Caenorhabditis elegans: one gene and its partners. The protein of the gene in region 3 purifies or fractionates together with the protein of the main gene of each other region. This does not show direct contact. Each region holds a gene or a part of one and is shown on either strand. Other genes may lie near its edges.

Evidence for each region.
Region 1: the proteins of memi-1 (region 3) and gsp-4 purify together in Caenorhabditis elegans (affinity purification with western blotting, with the first as the bait; one study listed by BioGRID). This does not show direct contact.
Region 2: the proteins of memi-1 (region 3) and gsp-3 purify together in Caenorhabditis elegans (affinity purification with western blotting, with the first as the bait; one study listed by BioGRID). This does not show direct contact.

Annotation. Positions count from the first base shown.
Region 1 is NC_003279.8:3,837,699-3,841,325, reverse strand, and holds gsp-4 (Serine/threonine-protein phosphatase PP1-delta), read left to right. Parts: upstream 1-1,652; 5' UTR 1,653-1,723; intron 1,724-1,879; 5' UTR 1,880-1,894; coding exon 1,895-2,350; intron 2,351-2,429; coding exon 2,430-2,822; intron 2,823-2,868; coding exon 2,869-2,937; 3' UTR 2,938-3,036; downstream 3,037-3,627. Other genes in the region: T03F1.6 (F-box domain-containing protein), read left to right, coding at 241-408, 464-543, 621-834, 936-1,189, 1,230-1,358; F53F10.1 (Coiled-coil domain-containing protein 102A), read left to right, coding at 3,578-3,626. UniProt on the Caenorhabditis elegans protein: Probable phosphatase which plays a redundant role with gsp-4 in spermatogenesis by regulating sister chromatid segregation during meiosis.
Region 2 is NC_003279.8:4,708,606-4,712,269, forward strand, and holds gsp-3 (Serine/threonine-protein phosphatase PP1-gamma), read right to left. Parts: upstream 2,108-3,664; 5' UTR 2,027-2,107; intron 1,832-2,026; 5' UTR 1,817-1,831; coding exon 1,361-1,816; intron 1,260-1,360; coding exon 867-1,259; intron 820-866; coding exon 751-819; 3' UTR 654-750; downstream 1-653. Other genes in the region: W09C3.3 (Methyltransferase FkbM domain-containing protein), read left to right, coding at 1-157; W09C3.2 (uncharacterized protein), read left to right, coding at 2,823-2,865, 2,910-3,246, 3,558-3,664.
Region 3 is NC_003282.8:4,758,381-4,762,251, reverse strand, and holds memi-1 (MEiosis-to-MItosis transition associated), read left to right. Parts: upstream 1-1,823; 5' UTR 1,824-1,824; coding exon 1,825-2,304; intron 2,305-2,351; coding exon 2,352-2,537; intron 2,538-2,586; coding exon 2,587-2,778; intron 2,779-2,829; coding exon 2,830-3,012; 3' UTR 3,013-3,270; downstream 3,271-3,871. Other genes in the region: cyp-31A3 (CYtochrome P450 family), read right to left, coding at 1-321, 370-464, 513-609, 653-1,053, 1,100-1,192.

The DNA of each region.
Region 1 (3,627 bases), on a different chromosome or scaffold from region 3:
AAAATTTAATAACAATTTGATGTCTTTTTTGGGTCTCATCACCATCTTGCAAATTAAAAAGACAAGACAATAAAAACTTTTTTGAAAACTTACCAAAATTCTAAATTTTATCCAATATAGTTTTTGCTCAAGAGATAGAGAGAAAGAAAATCAAAGTTTCGCTAAAAAAAGTAATAATTCAAAAATTTGTGGCAGTCAGGCATTTTATGAGTTCTTGAAATCTCAAATTCGATTGTTCAGACTATTCTGTGTACTTCATCAACAAGGATTCCCGTGTCACCAATCTCAATTTGACCGGTTGTGACTGGGAAGATGTGATCAAGTACGGAACGTGTATCGAAAAACTGGAGCTCAACATTTGCCCTGGAAAATCCACGTCCCAGCTGTTCCAAACCATAAAAAGAGCTTGTGAGTTGATGCTGCAAAATTTTCCGAAATATGAATTCAAATTCTTGAATTTCAGCATTCACTCTCCGTTCTCTCAAGATTAACGTGCTGGCTGGTGCCGATAAGTGTGTGCAGAAGATGAAAAATCTTGAGAAGGTGAGTTTTCTGAAAATTTTATGTGATGTATAGGAATCAAACGCTTACCCACAATCTAAAAATATAATCATTTTCAGAGATGCTTTGATTTGGTCAGCCGACATAGTTCATCACTCCGTCACCTCGAGTTGTCGACCTCCGATGAGCAACACGTGTATGCCGATTTGAACATTGCCACGTCATCGATGCGATTGACCTACCATCAGCCCGCGGAGCCAAAGCCCAGTGAGCAAACGAGGCATGGTCAGAATCACTCGTTCATGTACATCATGTTCCATGATTACCTTAACCGTAAGTTTTTAGTTTAAAAAAAAAACAATAGTAGCAAGTGACGGTAGGCAGACAGGAGGACGCCTACCTACAAATTCACCTTCATCCCTAGAATATTCCAGATCATACCATCAGCAATGTTACCCTGGAAATTGCGAGCAAGTACGACGCAAACCTAGCTCTCCAAAAAGCCTACCAAGCAGCACTCCCTCACTCGAGAAGACGCTTCCTCGAGAGCCTAACCATCGAATTCGGAAACTCCCTGAAAGCTGTGACCGAGGAAGAAATGAAGAGAGTTCTGTTGTGCCACGTCGATGAATTCCATCACACTACTCCAAATCTTCAACATTTCCATTGCAGCCTGCCACATGATGAGGTAAGGCTCTAAATTTGATAATTTCTATTAAAAAATCAAGAACTTTCAGATTGATCTCTCCCAAGAATTCCTGGCGTTGCTCAATGAGCCAGTCCGCAAGACCCGACAGTCAAAGTCCAGCTGTCCATACAATTCGACAATTTCCCTCCGTGCAGTCAGGTGTCAATAATAATAGTAATTATAATAATTGTAAATTGTGCAAAACTGTTCTTATTTCCACAAACATTTTTCCAAATGATTCTCTTCTTTTCTGCATTTTCTTCTCGTTTTCTGTGTACATTTCCCCATGTTTTTGAATTCAGTGTAAATAAATCAAGAATTCAAGTGGTTTCAAATTTTATTTATTGGCAAACGGAAAAACGCAAAATTACCAGAAAATTGCACGTGTAATTGACCTTACGAAAAAAAATTAACAAAAGATTGTACGTGTTGATAAAAGTCAATGTGTGGTTGAAAATTGAAGAATTCAATCATTACGATTCTTGCGACGGACACGAGTGACAACTTTGGACCATCGCTCCGCCCCTACCAAAGGTATGTTTCAGGGTTTCGTTGCGAAATGTGATGCATTTCGTCGATGCATCTTACTCCCCAAATCGGCCAAGCTTTCACCAGCTTTTAGCCCACTTGCCGGCTATTCATCATACTTTCCGCGCTAGCTCACAGCCAATAAAGCCAACAATTTTTCAGTAAAGAAGAACAATAATGACAGCGACAATCGATGTCGATAACTTGATGAGCCGTTTGCTCAATGTCGGCATGTCCGGTGGAAGACTGACAACTTCTGTCAACGAGCAGGAACTCCAGACGTGCTGCGCTGTGGCCAAGTCGGTGTTCGCCTCCCAAGCATCACTCCTGGAGGTTGAGCCGCCGATCATCGTGTGCGGAGACATCCACGGACAGTACTCGGACCTTTTGCGCATCTTTGACAAGAATGGATTCCCACCGGATATCAATTTTTTGTTCCTGGGAGATTATGTGGATCGTGGAAGACAGAATATTGAGACAATCTGTTTGATGTTCTGCTTCAAGATCAAGTATCCGGAGAACTTCTTCATGCTTCGTGGAAACCACGAGTGCCCAGCCATCAATCGTGTCTATGGGTTCTACGAGGAGTGCAACCGTCGTTACAAGTCGACTCGTCTCTGGTCAATCTTCCAGGTAAGGGGAGCAGAAAGCATTTTGTCAACTTACTTCGCTGCGTAATAATGAAACAAATCTCTCAATTCCCCATTTACAGGACACGTTCAACTGGATGCCTCTCTGTGGACTCATTGGTTCCCGCATCCTCTGCATGCATGGTGGCCTCTCCCCACACCTCCAAACTCTTGATCAACTCCGTCAACTTCCTCGCCCTCAGGATCCACCAAATCCATCGATTGGAATCGACTTGTTGTGGGCTGATCCGGATCAATGGGTGAAGGGATGGCAGGCAAATACTCGTGGAGTCTCTTATGTCTTTGGACAGGATGTTGTTGCTGACGTTTGCTCGAGACTTGACATCGACTTGGTTGCTCGTGCACATCAAGTCGTTCAAGACGGCTACGAGTTCTTCGCCTCCAAGAAGATGGTCACCATTTTCTCGGCGCCTCACTACTGCGGACAGTTTGACAATTCGGCTGCAACAATGAAGGTGAGATTCTTTATTATAACTTCTCTGTGAAAATTGAATATTATAGGTCGATGAGAACATGGTCTGTACTTTCGTCATGTACAAGCCAACTCCGAAGTCTCTTCGTAAAGGATAGGATCGATAGATTGCCACCACCAACCAACCAACCAAAAGAGAAAAATGAAAACGGTGTTTACTCAAATTATGTGTTTGAAAGAATGAATAATTATTGAAAGAGCTACTATTTTTTACTATTTTGTTCCGATCGCACCAGTCATAAATACATATATACAAATTCCTAGTATCTGCTTGGAAAGATCATGACTATTCCTAGCATGCATAAAATCCTGCCTGCTTGTCTTGGCTACCTGTATTACTCTGCAATCATTGCATCATTTCGCAGAAAATCTTTGAAAAAATTGTCGGAAAACGTTTAATGCTTGCCTCTCTGCCTGAGCTGCCGAGCCTGAGCAACGCCAGGAACTCTTGGGAGAGATTAATCTGAAAATTCTTGAATCTTTGATTTTGTTGTTTTTTAGCATCGGACCGGAAGTTCATTTCTCGAGTTTCCAGACAACAAGTTCACCGGAAGAAAATTTTCAGCCTTTTTCCAAATGACGTTTTCACTTCAAAGGTGTCTTTTCTCGTCTGCGAAACTCTAAACGACTGATCCTATTACACATCTCTTATAACAGCTGACACTCTTCCTTTCAAACCGGTCACTACTCTTGCTCCTCTCTATTATACACATTTCGGCTCGAGAACAAATCTTCCAAATGGCCGACTCCATTGCTTCCATTGGGAATAGATATATCGATAATAATGG
Region 2 (3,664 bases), on a different chromosome or scaffold from region 3:
CCCAAGCAAAGAACAAAAAGAACAGTTCATGACATTTATTAAACGATTGGTTGAAGAAAAATCGTTTGGATTCTTCTTCAGTGACAATGTTGGACACATGAGAATGTGGCTTTTCAATTTTGAAAGCGAATATTGTGTTCGAAAATTTTTTAATTGATTTATTTTCTATTTTTGCTGAGCGACACATTACGGGAATTTTTTTTTTTCAAAAAACAGCTTCACAAATGAGGAAAATATTAATGTTATTAATTAATTTTAATTGAATAAAAATTTGTTTCTATTTTTTTGAATTCTAAAATTTTTTAAAACATGTGCAAAATGTGCATTTTTGATAACCTCCATCCAACAGAATGCATCCGATTTGCCACCCAAGTTCACATGCTTTCCTTGTCGTACGCCGTTCTGCAATATTTTTCAAACATTCAAGAATACTTTTCTCGAAATTACACTCGAATATGATTTCAGGATGCGAACTTTTTTGTCTGATAATACATTCTTGCCTGCCTACCTAGGTATCCTTTGTGCCTGTTTCACTTCGGCTAAATAGGCGGTTTTTGTCTTATAAGCTATCTGCGCAGACACCGTATTTAGCGCGGAAACATGATTGCTAATTGCTGATGTGTGCCCGGAAAAAAAGCAATTAAAACAAAGAAGAATTTTCCTCAATCATTCATTCATTTAAACACACAGACTTCAACTGATTTATCTCATTTGGTTGGTTGGTTGGATGGTGGTGACAGTTTGCAGAGCTTATCCTCGACGCATGGACTTCGGAGTTGGCTTGTACATGACGAAAGTGCAGACCATGTTCTCATCGACCTAAAATATTCGATTTTTCACAAAGAAGTTGTAATAAAGAATCTCACCTTCATTGTTGCAGCCGAATTGTCAAACTGTCCGCAGTAGTGAGGTGCCGAGAAAATGGTGACCATCTTCTTGGAGGCAAAGAACTCGTAGCCGTCTTGAACGACTTGATGTGCACGAGCAACCAAGTCGATGTCAAGTCTCGAGCAAACGTCAGCAACAACATCCTGTCCAAAGACATAAGAGACTCCACGAGTATTTGCCTGCCATCCCTTCACCCATTGATCAGGGTCAGCCCACAACAAGTCGATTCCGATCGATGGATTTGGTGGATCCTGGGGGCGTGGCAGTTGGCGAAGTTGATCAAGAGTTTGAAGATGTGGGGACAGACCACCATGCATGCAAAGGATGCGGGAACCAATGAGTCCACAGAGAGGCATCCAGTTGAAAGTGTCCTGAAATTTGGAGAATTAGGGAGTTGTTTCATTCTTCGCAGCGAAGTGATAATCCGCTACAGAAAGGGGACAAAGTTCGACAAAGTGTCTGCTCTCCTTACCTGGAAGATTGACCAGAGACGAGTCGACTTGTAACGACGGTTGCACTCCTCGTAGAACCCATAAACACGGTTGATGGCTGGGCACTCGTGGTTTCCACGAAGCATGAAGAAGTTCTCTGGATACTTGATCTTGAAACATAACATCAAACAGATCGTCTCGATATTCTGTCTTCCACGATCCACATAGTCTCCAAGGAACAGGAAATTGACATCAGGCGGGAATCCGTTCTTGTCAAAGATGCGCAAGAGATCCGAGTACTGTCCGTGGATATCTCCGCACACGATGATCGGCGGCTCAACCTCCAGGAGTGATGCTTGGGAGGCGAATACCGATTTGGCCACAGCACAGCAAGTCTGGAGTTCCTGCTCGTTGACAGAAGTTGTCAGTCTTCCACCGGACATGCCGACATTGAGCAAACGGCTCATCAAGTTATCGACATCCATTGGCGCTGTCATTATTGTTCTTCTTTACTGAAAAATTATTGATTTATTGGTTGTCAACAAGAATGATGCATCGGAGGGCTTCCACATAGGTAACAAAACGCCTGCCGCGGCGGCCGTGCGGCGACGGCAGGTTTTGAAACAGTGCCTGCCTCCCATGGAAGCCCGATGACCTAGTACACCGATTGAATGCATCACATTTCGCATCGATACCACAAAACATACCTTTGGTAGGCCCGGAGCGATGATCCAAAGTTGTCGTCCGTCGCAAGAATCGTACAATGATTGAATTCTTCAATTCTCAACCACACGTTGACTTTTATCAGCACGTGCAATCTTTTGGTAATTTTTTTTCGCGAGGTCAATTACACGCAAAATTGTTTTGATAATTTTGTTTTTTAGTTTTTCGGACTTCCAATTAAAGGAAATCGGACTTAAAAATAAGACGTTTGCCATTAGAACGCTTATTTTTAAACTAGGACTTCTAGACAAAATGTTTGCTGCGGAACTCAACTCTGATCCCCTGAAAACGCGGGCTGAATAGTTTCCTGGAAGCTTTTTGAAAAATTGTTAAAAATCTAAAAAAAAATTCATCCAACTCGATCAAAAATAATTCCAAATTCAAATAAAAGTCAGGAAGTTTGCCTATTAATAGTAATATTACTAAGAACATTTAAAATCATCGAAAACTTGCGAAAAAACTTTTTTAAAAGTTAATTTTTCGCAAAAACGCAGAAAATAGGCGTTAAGCAAAAGGATAAGTAGATATAAAGGTGTGCCTGCCTACCTTTTAGGTATTGAAATTATCTAACAAATGTACCATTAGAAACAATTGGGTTGGTTAAATAATTGAATTTGTACTTTTTGGGATCTTTAGTGCCTGGGAAGATTTTTCCAAATCGATTTTATCTCCTTTCTTAAAAAAAAAAGAAATCACATTTAAAACGTGAAGATTTCTGGTTATTTAAATTTAAAAAAAAACTAAAGCTATTCTCTGTTCCAAATTTATTTCCAATCAAACATGAGCCTCCACTTTGTGCTCTTTCACAGTTCTCTTAACTATTGTAAGTTCTACTGTTTCCCGCTTAAAATCCCATTGATTTTCCAGTGTATCTAGCTGCAATTGCAAGTTTAACTGCAATTCTAATATCAATTGGATGTACATCTGGACACCGGGAAAATCAACGACACAAGGATCGGAGTGATATGGAGAGCAAATGGAGTTTGAAGAGCTTCAAAAGTAAGAAGAAGCTGAGAAAAGTGAATGGTGATAAGATTAAAAAGAGCAAGAAGAGTAAGAAGAGTAAGAGAAAGGAGGTAACAGTAGATAAAGAGGATAATGAAGATGAGAAGAAAGATGAAAATCTGGAGAAGAAGTTGAAGAAGGATGATGGAAGCTCGCGGGAAAAAGTGGAAGACCAGGAACAGTCTAGGAAAATTGATAGGTAGGATAGGATCAGAACCACGTAAAATTACAAGGCTGCAAATGCACGAATAAACCCAATTGAAAGTGAAAAATACATGAGAATAAGAGAAAAATGAGTTTTCTTTGTACACTTCCCGCAGTTCTTATATTTCACAGTTGATTCGCATAACTCGACCGTTTGTAATTTTCACATTGTGAGCGTTTGCAGTCTCAGTGTGAGCATTATGTCTGATTTATTTTTTGGCAATTGTGCTGAAAATAATTTCAATCGAACAATTAAATCAAGTTCATTTTTGGACCTAATTTTGAAGTAAAGCTGTATTTTTTCAGAAGTATCAAAGATCGTAACCCCAAAAGTTTGGAACAAAAAAGTCATCAGAAAAATGTTGGTGAAGGATCAAAGCGTACTAGTAGCTCTAGAAAGCCAGAAGAACCAG
Region 3 (3,871 bases):
TCATCGCCCATCACTTCATCCAATTCCGCTTGAACTTTTCTCTGAACTTCAGGATGATTTCCCAGAAGATGTATTGCCCACATTAGTCCTGTAGATGTTGTATCGTGGCCTTCAAACATGAATGTGTCAACTTCTGCCTGAACATCTGTTTCGTCCATTTGTCCACTTTTCACCATTTCGAGAAGAAGATCTAAAAATGCGAGACGACCTTCCATCTTATAATCATTCTCCTGTAGCGCTTCTTTTCTCTCGACAATTACTTTCTTCGTGAAATCATGTAGAATACGAAGACATTTTTCATGCGTTCGTCCGTCTTCTGTTCTGAAAAATAAAATTGAATTGACCTTTTTAATGATAAAACTATCGTACAAATTGTAAATAAACGAATTCCACATTAACGGATTATTTGTTCGCTTTGAGATCAGCTTGTTGATTGTGTGCACCGCCCATACATACTCGTTATTCTGAAAAAAAAACGTTTAGAAATGTTGCGATTGAAGAATTTCTCGAACCTCCGCGAGTTGAGCACCGATAGCTTTGCCCATGGAAGTTTCACAAATGATATCAAGAGTGCACAAGGTTATAACGGAGAGAACATCAACTTCTTCCCTGAAAATGAATATTTGAAAGCGTTATAAATTGAAATTCTCACTCTGCTCCGAGGGAACACATTTTCTGAACCAAAATCTTTGATTGCTCGTTGAAAATCGGCAAAAAATCCTTCAGAATATCATAATGGAAGGTGGGTGTCAAGAGTTTTCGCTTTGGACGCCATTGTTCCTTCTGGCTTGTCAAAATACTGATTCCAAGCCATGGCTCAAGCAAAACGTATGCGAAACCTTTGTTCAGATGTTTCGTCGACGAGAAAATTGGTTCCACGAGATCGGCGGAGTAGAGCATCAGGCAAGGGAACGGACCAATCCACAAAAGACACATACGTGGATCTGGATATAAATATCCCATTCCAATTACTTGGTTCATGAATCCCTCTGGATCTGGCTTGGTGACCAGTCCGTGACCGACGATTGGATATGAACGTGGTTGATTGAGATGCTGAAAATTTATTTAAATTATCTTCAAATGAATTTTGAAATCAAACCTTCAAAGCTTGACGCATTCTCAAGTGTTTGTAGAGAAGCCAAGCGATTATCGTCGCCGAAGCGAGAAGTACAGCGGGGATGATAACCCCCATTGCAAAACCTTCTGAAATAATTTATTTGAGCGAAAAAAACGAGCAAAAAGCGTTGAAAACTTGAGGAAAATTGTTTGTTAAGCTTTGGTTTTGAAAATCGCAAAAAAAAAAGTTTTTGAACGAACATTCAAATTTCAGACAAGTCGTGGTGAGACCCATGTGAAAATCGTCATGCGTCTTTAAAGAGTACGGTAGTCTTGAGAAAGTTCTCGAACGAATTTTTGTCGTTTTCTGATATTTCAATCTTGATTTAAATAATTATTAAAAACTTTTAATTACCATTATTTTTTCAACAAAAAAATGAAGAAAACAAAAAAACAAATCCAAAACTATTTTTCAATGAATATTGTACTTTTTATGAATGCTTCGTCTATTTGACCTATTTGACGTATTTGATCCCCCCGTCGAAAAACCAGCGCAACTATTTCATATAGGCTCAACGAATTTTTGATCGTGAATCTTCTTCTTCTTTGCTGACACTCACAAAAACTGATGAAGTTTTTTAAAAAATGGTTTTATCGATAAATTATTATTAATCTGCCAATCACTTCAGTACATTTACTTTTTTTTTAGTTTTCTCTTTCATTTTTGCTTCAAATTTTTTATAAAATTTTAAATCAACGTTTTTCAGAATGTCAGCTCCATCTCGCACCGTCCTTCGCGATTTGACGGCGACCAGATACGTCGCCAACTACGCCGAAGAAGATCGCTTGGAAACCGCTCGAGCCGGTTGCTCTTCCCTCCCACCACAACCCAACATCAATCATGATGTAATTATCGAAGGGCACGGAGAAGATGTGGAGCTCGTCGAAGATGAGAACTACTGTTCCGTTCATCGTATCGATGAGACTCCAAAGCTCGTCGACAAGAAACCGAGCAAGACAATCATCCGCGATGAAGCTGTCAAAGTGCTCCGGCACATTCAGACTGTGCCGATTGAAAATCTTCGTCTTAAGCGCTACGACTATTTCTCGCAAAGATGGTTCCACACGACCAGAGAATCGGAGAAAGCGCTTGTCGAGCACGTGTTTCTTCATCCCAACCAACGACCACATTATTTTGCCGCTCAGTGCCGGAAGCTGTCGGTCGAGGATATCTCTAGTTTGATTCTGGTTAGTTTCTTGGCCATATTTTTGATAAAGCATAAATCTCATTTCAGACTTCTCTCCTGACCGAACCGAAGGAAACGGGACAAAATGTGGCTCGATTTGCTATCCAGACAACCAATGAAATGTCGTTCCAAACGTTATTTGCATTGCTCGAACAACTAGAGAAGGAAAACGAAAGGTTCCAAATGACAGATAGCTTTGTGGTTGCAACCCTGATCCGATCACAGACGAAGAGAGTAAGTAAATCGGTTTTATATTACACACAAATAACTTTTCATGTTTCAGACTATCACTCGTCTCCTGAGAACCACACACTGCCGGGAATACGGAAATCTCGAGCCAGGACTCGATTCACAAGGCCGGCTGATGACTTCGACTGCATCAATCACGTGTTCAATTCGAGGAAAGCGCCACGTGGAAACGAGGATCGTGTACAAGAACAACTCGAGCACCAGGGATCCTTTCCGAAGAAATAGAGTGAGTTGTATAGCAATAATTCTATCGATTTCCAATTTATAACATTTTCAGTACATCGAATTGGAGCAAACGGTGAAGTGCATGAACCGGCGAGTGCTGATTGTCGAAGAGCCAGTCGAAATCCACGAATTCGAGGTCGAAAAGGATATGATCTCGCTGGAAAACGGAATTGCGCCAGTCGACGACCTGATCTCGTTTCTCGAAACATTCGAACTGGATGAAGAGGACGAGTAACTCCATATATGTCCTATAATTAGTAGTAATGTGCATAAGTCTGTATTATTGTATATGTATTTAAATAACCGAGTGGTTCCTGTTGAATATTCCAACTAACTTCCCCTATTTTATTTTCCTTTTTTGTTTTAGTTGTTTTATGTATATAGATTCTCCAATGCCCAAATTGTGACAACCCACGACTATTTTGTTTATATTCGACATGTATATTGCCCGCATTTATTTTGATTTTTTTTCAAAGATGAATTTGTTTGAGGTATAATTTTACAATGCATTACTGCTCTGATTGATTGATTAGAATATGAATTTCAACTATTCCCGGCTTTTCACTGGTAAATTACTCCATATACGTTATTTTCCCACCGCAACAACCTGGCCTTTTCATTGCCTCATTCACAGCATACGACTTGTAATGTCTGCACTCTCCCCGTCTCATCACGTAATCAGGTCTCTCTCGATTCTTCCCGTTTAAATATATATCTGCTCTATTGCACCTCTTCATTTCCTTGTTCAGGAAAATAGCATAATTTCAAAATGCCTCGGAAGAAGAACGATGTGCAAATCACCGAGGAAATGAAGAAGAAAACCGCCGAAGAGGTTATCAAAAAGGTGAGTTTTATTTATTTATTTATTCCTAGTTTTGAAATTAATTTTCCAGCTGCCAACAGTGAAATCGAAGCAAGACGCTATCAACGAGAATCTGCAAAAACTTCAAGAATTCCGAGATAATGAGCCGAACCCCTATGGAAAGGGTAAAGTGGGTTTTTTTAAACAATTTTTATAACTAATTTTTGCGAAATCCAATCATTAAAAATTCAATATAAATACAGTAGTCTGTTTAAAGGGGCACGTGGTTGTA